Nothobranchius furzeri: one gene and its partner. The protein of the gene in region 2 interacts with the protein of the main gene of each other region in a biochemical or structural test. Links are inferred from orthologs where the notes say so. Each region holds a gene or a part of one and is shown on either strand. Other genes may lie near its edges.

Region 1 (4,250 bases), on a different chromosome or scaffold from region 2:
TGCTACATCAGAAGATCGGCGTTTTTGTGATGATTAAATTCTTGTGAGACTTTAAACTCACATTTTACTGACAGGCAAAGAGCTGAAAAGTTCCCCCACAGAGTCCAAAGGTAGAATGGTTTGTCTGTTAGGTTTGTTCAGCCCACAGGCCAGCTTTGCCAACACCTTAAAAGTAGATGGTAGACCATGATGGCTGCAATAAAATGAATGTGGCGTCTGAATTGTAATAGAATTTACCGTACCTTGTTGTGTGATATTCCCGCTGAGCAGCGGAAGCCTGTGTGTTGTTCCACAGCTGCTCTCATTTCCTCAATAATGAGAGCCCCCACGGTTAGCTGCAGCTCTGCAGAGCTGTGCTCCCCCGAAGATGGAGCAGGTAAAGATGCCAGCCACTGGAGGAGACCTCTGGATCTCTTCTCCTCTGCGGATAAAAATCAAGACTATTTACACAAATTCAATTTATAGTTTTAACATTTTAGATGATGTTACTTCCAACTAGGGCTGAAACGATTCCTCGAGTACCTCGAATAATTCGAGTACAAAAAATCCTCGAGTCAAATTCTCTGCCTCGAGGATTCGTTTAATTCATATTTAATTAATTCGTGGCTTTGCAGTCGCCCGTGGTCATGTTTCACCCGGACTGAAATAAGTGACGCACATGCCCACTGGACTGCACACGCGAGTAGCGAATGTAACTTAACTTTCTCTTAAGCCATGGCGGACAACGTGGACCCCGGTGGAGTGCGAAAAAGACAGAAAATGTCAAGATGTGGGACCATTTTTCACGTCGTTAGGCGGAAAACGTACTCCAGTGTAAATACTGTAAAATGGATTTAGCCTAGCACAACACCACATCCTCCATGCTGCTGCAGCGCCTGTAAATGTCACTTCTGCAAGCGGACTCGGAGCCTCTACAAGATAATGCATTTTAGCCTGTATTTCCATATATTCTGCGGACACTGTGCGACTTTTTCGTTTGTAGCACTTAGTTTCAGCTCACACCGTACGTCTGGTAGCAACACGTCGGACTTAAAATGTGCTAAAAAATAGCATTTTTACACAAAACGTCGGACTTTTTATTGTGTTATTGATGTTTGTTGTCCCTCGGGATTGCTGCAGGAGGACACGGGTATTTATGAGAGGAAAACGAAAGAAAGTAAATAAATGTTTTGTGATCAGTATAATTTGACAAAACCACAGCAAACATGCTTTCTCGACAATCCTTGTTATTGTGTGAGTAAAAACGTGTTGAAATTAAAACGGACGTGTGTTAATAGGGAAACAGCCGGCGAGCTGTTTGCGCATGCACCGTGAGCGGTTCTGGTTCTGTTTGGGCCGCAGCCGCTCGCAGCGCTACTTCCAACAGTTATCCTCCTAGTTTCTGTCTGGCTTGCAGGCTAGCAGATTCTCGCACGAGGGGAAAATCGGCTCAGGTTGTGTACTTATTTTTTGCACAGCCATTTGTTTACTGTGAAGTAAAGTTGAAGTGCTGAAGTTTTGAAAACTAATTTTGAATAAAACTTGAAGAATAACTGGCAATTGCTTGCTCATTTTAACAGGTCTTTCATAATTATAACATGCTATTTGATATAATGGTTTACAAATACAAAAGGGTAATTTATTAGAGTACTCGATTAATCGAAAAAAATATTCGATAGAGTACTCGATTACAAAAATATTCGATAGCTGCAGCCCTACTTCCAACACAGAGTTTAATGAGTAACAGATTAGTAGTTTACCTTTACCCAAAACAGGACCTTCAGGGCCACCTGCAGAAGACGGTTCTTGGCTACTTTGTGGAAACCCCTGGATGTAGGTGGTTTTAAGAAGGCTGGGCTCTATTTGTATGTCAGCCATGTTTTTCAGCCTCTGCTGAACAGCAGCTGTCAAATCCATGTAGGCCTCGTCAATGCTGGCCCGCTCGATCACAGCGAAGCGAGACATCACCTCTATCACCTCCACACTAGCGTCCCTGTAACTAAAACAAGTGACTATGCTTTATTATGTTTTTATTCACAAGTAAGGTTTAATAAAATATGGATTTACTATTTCAACAAAAAGCAACAAGGAAATTTGAGGTGTGTATGGTCATCTACACTTACGGAGTTAGATCTGCTTTGCCACGAGACTCGCGAACTCTGGCTACCTGGAGATCTGTACTCAACTGCTTAGCATCATCCACCCACATGGTCTTGGTAACACCGTGAGCCCTGGCCTCGTAGCTCACAGCTATAATACTAACAGAAGATATTATCAGGAATACATTTTTAACATTTGCACAAATAGAGGCTTCACTTTGCTCCTGCTTTTGCTACAGTGACATGTATAGATACGTTTTGAGGAGCTTGTAATGTTTACTAAGCTGAAACTAGACATTGTATACCACACCAAATAGGAAAATAAAACACAACTTCCGGTTTCAATAGGCGCAGCGTCAACTTATCCAGATGAGGTTTATTTTATGGTTAAAACACATTTTGTGCCGGAAACTCACCCGCCTCCTTTCCACGTCTTGTATTGTGCCACCACGCAGGGAATGTTCTTCAGGGCTGGATTCAGTCGCTGTTCCACCTGGACGTAAAAACAGTCCATGTCGACCAGCGCCACCACTCTCTCCTTCCCGTATTCCATTAGAAACCTAAAGACTTCGTCACTTAAAATATATCCGCCCGTTACGTAGGTCAGGTACAGCTGGAGGAAGGTATGTATATTAAGAACAAGTAAAGAATGCGTCTAAATTCAAAGCTATTAGATTTCGCGCAAAAAATCCCAACCGCAAACGTCATCAAACGTGGACAGTCAAGGAAAATCTGTGTTACGTTGAAATATGTCCCCCGCCTCGAAAAGTGCGTATATTTGTTCCCCTTTGATATTAAAATCAACGTTTATGATTAAAATTGTGTTAAATTATATTTATAACGTTTAACCTATTAAAATGTGTCATTTTATCCCTGTGGTAGGCACATTTTAAAGCAACCTCATCAAAGCACCGTAAAACAGTAAAAAGAAAAGGTAGGATTTTGGAGATAAATATCAGTAAAATACAAATATAAACATAAAAATCTAATATTATTAATGATAAGAAAACATTAAACAATACGGCCAAAAATAGATTTCTGTTGTGTTCTGACTCTTGAAGGCAGCAGAACACTGCTGATATAGATATAGAGGTGCTGTGGAGAGTTCAGGGAGTTCCAGAGATGTGCTGAGAGAAAAAATGAACGTCACTCCTCCCTGTAATAAAGAAAGTTCATATAGACAAAGTTATTGCCTACCTGCTTGCCACCAACCTCAAAACGTAACAGCCTGCCTAATAAATTACACTAAAAGAAAAAAGGTGATTTGAAATAGGCAAATGTCTTGCCAACACTTGAAGTACTGGAATGCATCATTAAGTGGTAAAATCCGGAATCACTATTCATACAGTTGTGCAAGTATTTTTTTATTTAGTTATTATTTTTTTTTCTAAGTAATTTGGGGCTGATTGTTGCACTTTATGAACTAACTTCAATAGCTTTTCTTTTATTTGGGCAAACAAGTCAGAAAATGAATTCACAACATTTCAAAAGTGAGTTCATTAAAAGATAATTCAAGTTTAAATATTTACTGAAAATTGCACTTTGAGGAACATCCTTGTTTCCTTAGCCTGGTTCTCTTCTCAGATTGTTTAATATTTTCTCTTTTAAAACAAAGTCATTCCAACAGCTATTTTTTCCTAAAGTTATTGAGAATATACTGTATGAGTGTAGACTGAACAGATGGCAACAAATGGAAAATGTCAGTTTTCTGAGGGTAATAGCTTGTCAAAACATATTGGAAAAAATAAGTAAGCACTAGTTTTTTTAACTATGAACCCAATTTAAAAAAATCAATTATAAACTGAATTAGTTATGAACTGAACTGTGAAATAGCTCATCTTTAAAGCAACGTTCCCCCACACTGATAAATAGTTTGTATAAGTGAAGACATTCTGGCTTTATCTAAACTAGCTATGCTGTTAATGCTCATTTTAAAACTGTAAGTTTTATTTTGAAATAATCTATAGGAAGTGGTAATGAATAGCCTACTGACAGTAATTAACCCGGAATATCAGTATATTATATTTTCTGATAAAAATTGGCCACCTGTATGTTATAACATACAAATTGTTGTGTTACAAATGTAAAGATGTAAAAGTTAGGTCTATCTTGCTGTTGTACTTAAACCCAGTTTGATAAACATGAAAAGGTCATACGCAGTGTGTGATTTGT
Region 2 (4,515 bases):
CAAAGTGGCCACACCAGAGCTGATCTTCTGTCCGATGCTGTTGGGGATCGGGCACTGGCGGCTCTCCCGACTGAACCACTTGTTGGTCGTCGTGAATCTTCGGATTGTAAGCCTGAAGGTTTGAGGCTGGCGGCCATCTTTCTGCATCCTGGTTTTTATAAAACAAGACAAAGTAGAAGCGGCAAGTCTTCATTCAAAGATTAGAACCATGGATCCATTGATGAGGTGCTGAAACTGGTCCTGACCTTTCTACCAGACTGCTCAAGAGCTGCTGAATCTTTTCCACAACTTCTTTAGTTGAAGACATTTTTTTGAAGGAATCTTCATCACTGAGAGACTGAACGATGAAGAGGACATTAATGCAACTGATAAACACCATTTCCTGATCAAGCAGCATCTAAAGACAGATTCACACCAATACATTGATAGTTTCTGATATGTAATCTTTATTATTGGAGATATTGTCCTTAGTTAAACCTACTTTTATTGCATAAAATTAATGTCAGTGTAATAATCCTACAAAATTCTACTTAAAGAGCAAGTCACCCCCTACCAGAGCATTACTCCACTCCCACTTCCTGTTTGAAAAATGCAACAAATGCTGTTACCTAGCAGACAGAGAAGGCGGAGCCGCTAACAAATACACACAAACAGGCTCACAACGACATTGTGACATCATATGGTACCAGCTAATGTCCTAGGTTACCTCTTAGCCAATAGCGATGGCAGATTAAAATTCAAATGCAGTGCAGAGTTTTCCCCGACAACGGCACAACACCGACAGTTTTAAGCAGAAAATTTAAACTTTAACTAAAATGCACTAAAGTGCAAAACTATTGACTACACGTGTCTGCAGCACGATTAGACACGCGTTTATATAGTTTATCAGAAAAATAAAGTTGATTAGGGGGTGACTTGCTCTTTAAATAGACATAAGTCCAAATCTATTCACAGCTTCATGGCGGTCATTTCTAATATATGATAAATAACTAAATGCTACTTAAGGATAAACGTGTTAGAAAGTCTTTGGGGCCTCTAAATTCACCTGAGGGGCTCCAGAGGGGGTGACAGGAGAATCATCAACACCTAGCACCAGATTCTTCAAGCGCTGAGCCGTAGGACCTCCAAACTGCTTCGCTAAGTCGTTTAAAGGGTAAACCTGCAGGTCTTTAACACTGACCAATCCCAGAGATTGAAGTTTTTTAGCAGTTTGGTGACCCACGCCTGAAAGAAATCACAGAAACACAAAGTTGTTATTTAATACACAAATTAAAGTTTTTTCCACCCTTAAATACCAGCTCTGAATCAGAATATTTTTCTAACGTGCATACCCGGTACTTTTCGGAGGCCGCTCAAGCAGCCCATAATGTCGCCAACGTTCTCCTGCAGTAAAACGGTTTGCTGGTTTGGTTTGAAGGTGCCAGAAACAAGTTTGGCCAGCAGCTTGTTTGTGGCGATGCCAGCACAGCCAGTCAGGCCGAGTTTGCCGCGGACGGCTTCTCTCAGCTCTGCTGCGATGTGAGAACCTAAAGCCAACCTGGGGTGGTCGCTGGCTTTAGCATCAGCACCTGAGCAAGAACGGAGAAAAAGAAAAAAAAATCTAAAATGGAACGGTTAGAGTGACACTGAAAACGGCATGCAAATACGTCACAAATGAACTCTTTCACAAGTTATCTTTCAGTTTCAGTGAGCCAGATGTGCAGCGGCAGACACACAACTCACTGGAGTGATTGTAGACGCGTCCTTTGAAGGAAAAGCAGCCAGGCTCTGCTGTCTGTTTGAGCTTTTGTTCCACCATCTCTGTGACATCCATGAAGTTTTCATCAAATCCAAGCCTCTCAACCAGGGGACAATAAGACATCAGCAGCTCTGAAAGTGAAGGTGAGCAGAAAACATTTATAATTTATGCATTTTTGATGTTAACTAATTTAAACATCAGCTTTTTTCTCCCCACAATAACAATAACAGAAGACAAGGACACATTTCTTGTAGCAGCTCAGCTGCGATATAAATTTGTATCTTCTTTACTGACTTCTGTGACACTTATTTTTAATTTTCCAGTTTTGATAGCAAAAGGCGCTCTTTTATTATTATTTTTTTTTTGGCTGCATATGATAGTTTAAGGTTTAATGTGCTTCCTGTTGGGATTTAATAACTAAAATCAAACAGCCAACAGCACATTTTTCCCCACAAAAATCAATCTGATGTGTTGGAGGATATAAAATTCTCTAAATAGGTAAGAACGGCTACCTGTCACTTTATAGGACATTTCTCTGTAGTGTGTCAGGTCTTCTCCGTTAACCAGCACCAGCTCGGGACACTTCTCCTTTGCGTCAGAGACAGACATCAGCTTGGTAACACCCCGCCCCCTGGCCATGTAGTTACTGGTGACTATGATGTATTTCTGCTGAACACCTGAAGACAGAAGTGTTTAACCTTCACAGAAACTCAGCAACTTTAATATTCCATAATAATATTTTAGGTTTACCTAAAGGCACGCATCTCAGAGCTGGATTTCTTATCATTTCCACCTGAGCGTAGAAGCAGTCCAGGTCAAAATGCAAAATGACTCTGTGTGAAGGAGCTGATGATGCTTTAACAGCTGATCCTGAATATAAGACACAGAAGTTATCTTCAAATCAAGCTGAAGCACCAAAAACTTACAATTTTACCAGAAGCGACTGAGGAGGTGGAAAAGAGAGCTGCTGAATCCACGAAGGAGTTTTTCCACTCGCTAAGTTCTTCCTCCATCTCATCGTCGCTATTATTGATTTTAAAAGACTAACGTGATGGCGTTAACATCACGTTCAGCATAAATACATGCTTTTGTTATTTTGTTTACAGACAGTTCCGCTGCGCGTGTGCGCAACAGCGCCACTGGCCGGCCCGGAGAAGATATTGCAACACACCAAACAGCCAAAGACATCAGGAGAGAAAAAAAAACACATAAAAATGTATGAATGTTGATAAACTTTACAAATGTTGTTTATATAATGTAAATTCCGCATTTATATCAGGGCTTCCAGCATTTGCAAAACTCTCAGGGAACTGTTATTTTACTTTATTTGTCTTTTTTTATTTTATTTAATTATATGCAAAATGTATGAATATAAATTTATAAAAACTGCTAAAAAACTGAACTGTCTGGAGCACTATAGCTAGCTGGGCTTAGCACTTTCACGTCACAAAAACATAGTGTTTTCTGTTACATAAATACAGTTAATAATTATGTTTACAGCTAAATAAATATAACAAAAGAAAAAGTATGTTAGCGTTGAGAAGATCTTTTATATAGAGCCTCTCAAGATAAAAATCACGAGGTGCTTCACAAAAACAAAACAATTAAAGTATAAAAATATGTTTAAATGACTAAAAATATGTTTAAAAATAGAAAAGAACAAAAAATAAATAAATTAGAAGAAAGGAAAGGGAGAGAGAAAATGAATAGCGAGACGCCTTCATGCTGCTGCCAAAACGTTTTAGTGTTTTAATAAGAAAGATTTTACAGGAGGAGTTTCTTCTTCCTCTTTCTCGCCATGGGAGCGGAGGAATTGTTTTGGACGCCTATTTTCAACTTCTATCTCTTCTACTGGTGTAAATAATTATTTTCAGTAAATTTCCTACTTTATGTTTTTATTTAGTAATTTTAGATTATATTTAGTCATATTTGACATTGCTTTGCCATTTTTGTACTGTTCGATCACCCGTAGTTTTGTCTTTTTTCGGCTGCGTTTTTCACTGAGGCTTTTTAGTTTTTTACGTTAGATTGGTTTTTGTAAATAAACCAGGAAACCTTCTAGAAAGAGGAAACTTCTCTCAAAAGTTGTTGATGAGGAGCAAGATGTGCCCACATTGTTTTTCCATCCCAAATGCAGTAAGTATCTCTGCACTAAACCCGTTCCAGTTTCTGTTGTCTAGTATTTCTGCTAATACTATTACTATACTATTATATACTATTACTGCAACTTCCAGAAAAACAAAAGGTCCATGTACATCTGTGGTGAGGATTCAGGTGTGGATGAAGATGATTTGCCATCACAGCTACAGTATATTTATCTACAGTTTAATTAATTTTTTTTTACAGTTTTCATTTTCTAGTATTTACCAGTTATAATCGGTATGTTGCTCTTGAGGCTAACAACAACAATAACAACAACAACAACAAACAATTTCCAGTCAGTCGTAGGTTGCAGTGAGGCAGCGTGATGAATCATGGAGAGGAGGGAACAAGGAGTGGACAGTAGAGAGGGGGGACGGGTGCAGGGAGGGTGCTAGTTTAGAAGACGCTCTGTGAAGAGCAGGGTCTTCAGGAGTTTCTTGAAAGTGGAAAAGGAAGCCCCTGTTCTTGTAGCGCTTGGTAGGTCTTTCCACATTTGTGGAACAATGCATGAGAAGAGTCTGGATTGTCCCGAGCGTGGCGTAGGCTCTGCTAGCCGACGATCTTGTGATGACCGGAGCGGCCGAGCCGAGACGTAAGCCTTTGCAAGAGGATTCAGGTGGATGGGAGCCGTGCCA

What was found.
Region 1: the proteins of poli (region 2) and polh interact in far-western blotting, tested with the Homo sapiens proteins (2 studies listed by BioGRID). The link is inferred for Nothobranchius furzeri from reciprocal best matches to the Homo sapiens genes POLI and POLH.

Annotation. Positions count from the first base shown.
Region 1 is NC_091752.1:33,811,587-33,815,836, reverse strand, and holds the start of polh (DNA polymerase eta), read right to left. Parts: upstream 2,847-4,250; 5' UTR 2,632-2,846; coding exon 2,495-2,631; intron 2,238-2,494; coding exon 2,103-2,237; intron 1,979-2,102; coding exon 1,740-1,978; intron 422-1,739; coding exon 243-421; intron 166-242; coding exon 62-165; intron 1-61. UniProt on the Homo sapiens protein: DNA polymerase specifically involved in the DNA repair by translesion synthesis (TLS). Due to low processivity on both damaged and normal DNA, cooperates with the heterotetrameric (REV3L, REV7, POLD2 and POLD3) POLZ complex for complete bypass of DNA lesions.
Region 2 is NC_091750.1:42,536,956-42,541,470, reverse strand, and holds the start of poli (DNA polymerase iota), read right to left. Parts: upstream 2,862-4,515; 5' UTR 2,752-2,861; coding exon 2,673-2,751; intron 2,609-2,672; coding exon 2,489-2,608; intron 2,416-2,488; coding exon 2,251-2,415; intron 1,870-2,250; coding exon 1,723-1,869; intron 1,569-1,722; coding exon 1,332-1,568; intron 1,225-1,331; coding exon 1,046-1,224; intron 338-1,045; coding exon 246-337; intron 149-245; coding exon 15-148; intron 1-14. UniProt on the Homo sapiens protein: Error-prone DNA polymerase specifically involved in DNA repair. Plays an important role in translesion synthesis, where the normal high-fidelity DNA polymerases cannot proceed and DNA synthesis stalls. Favors Hoogsteen base-pairing in the active site.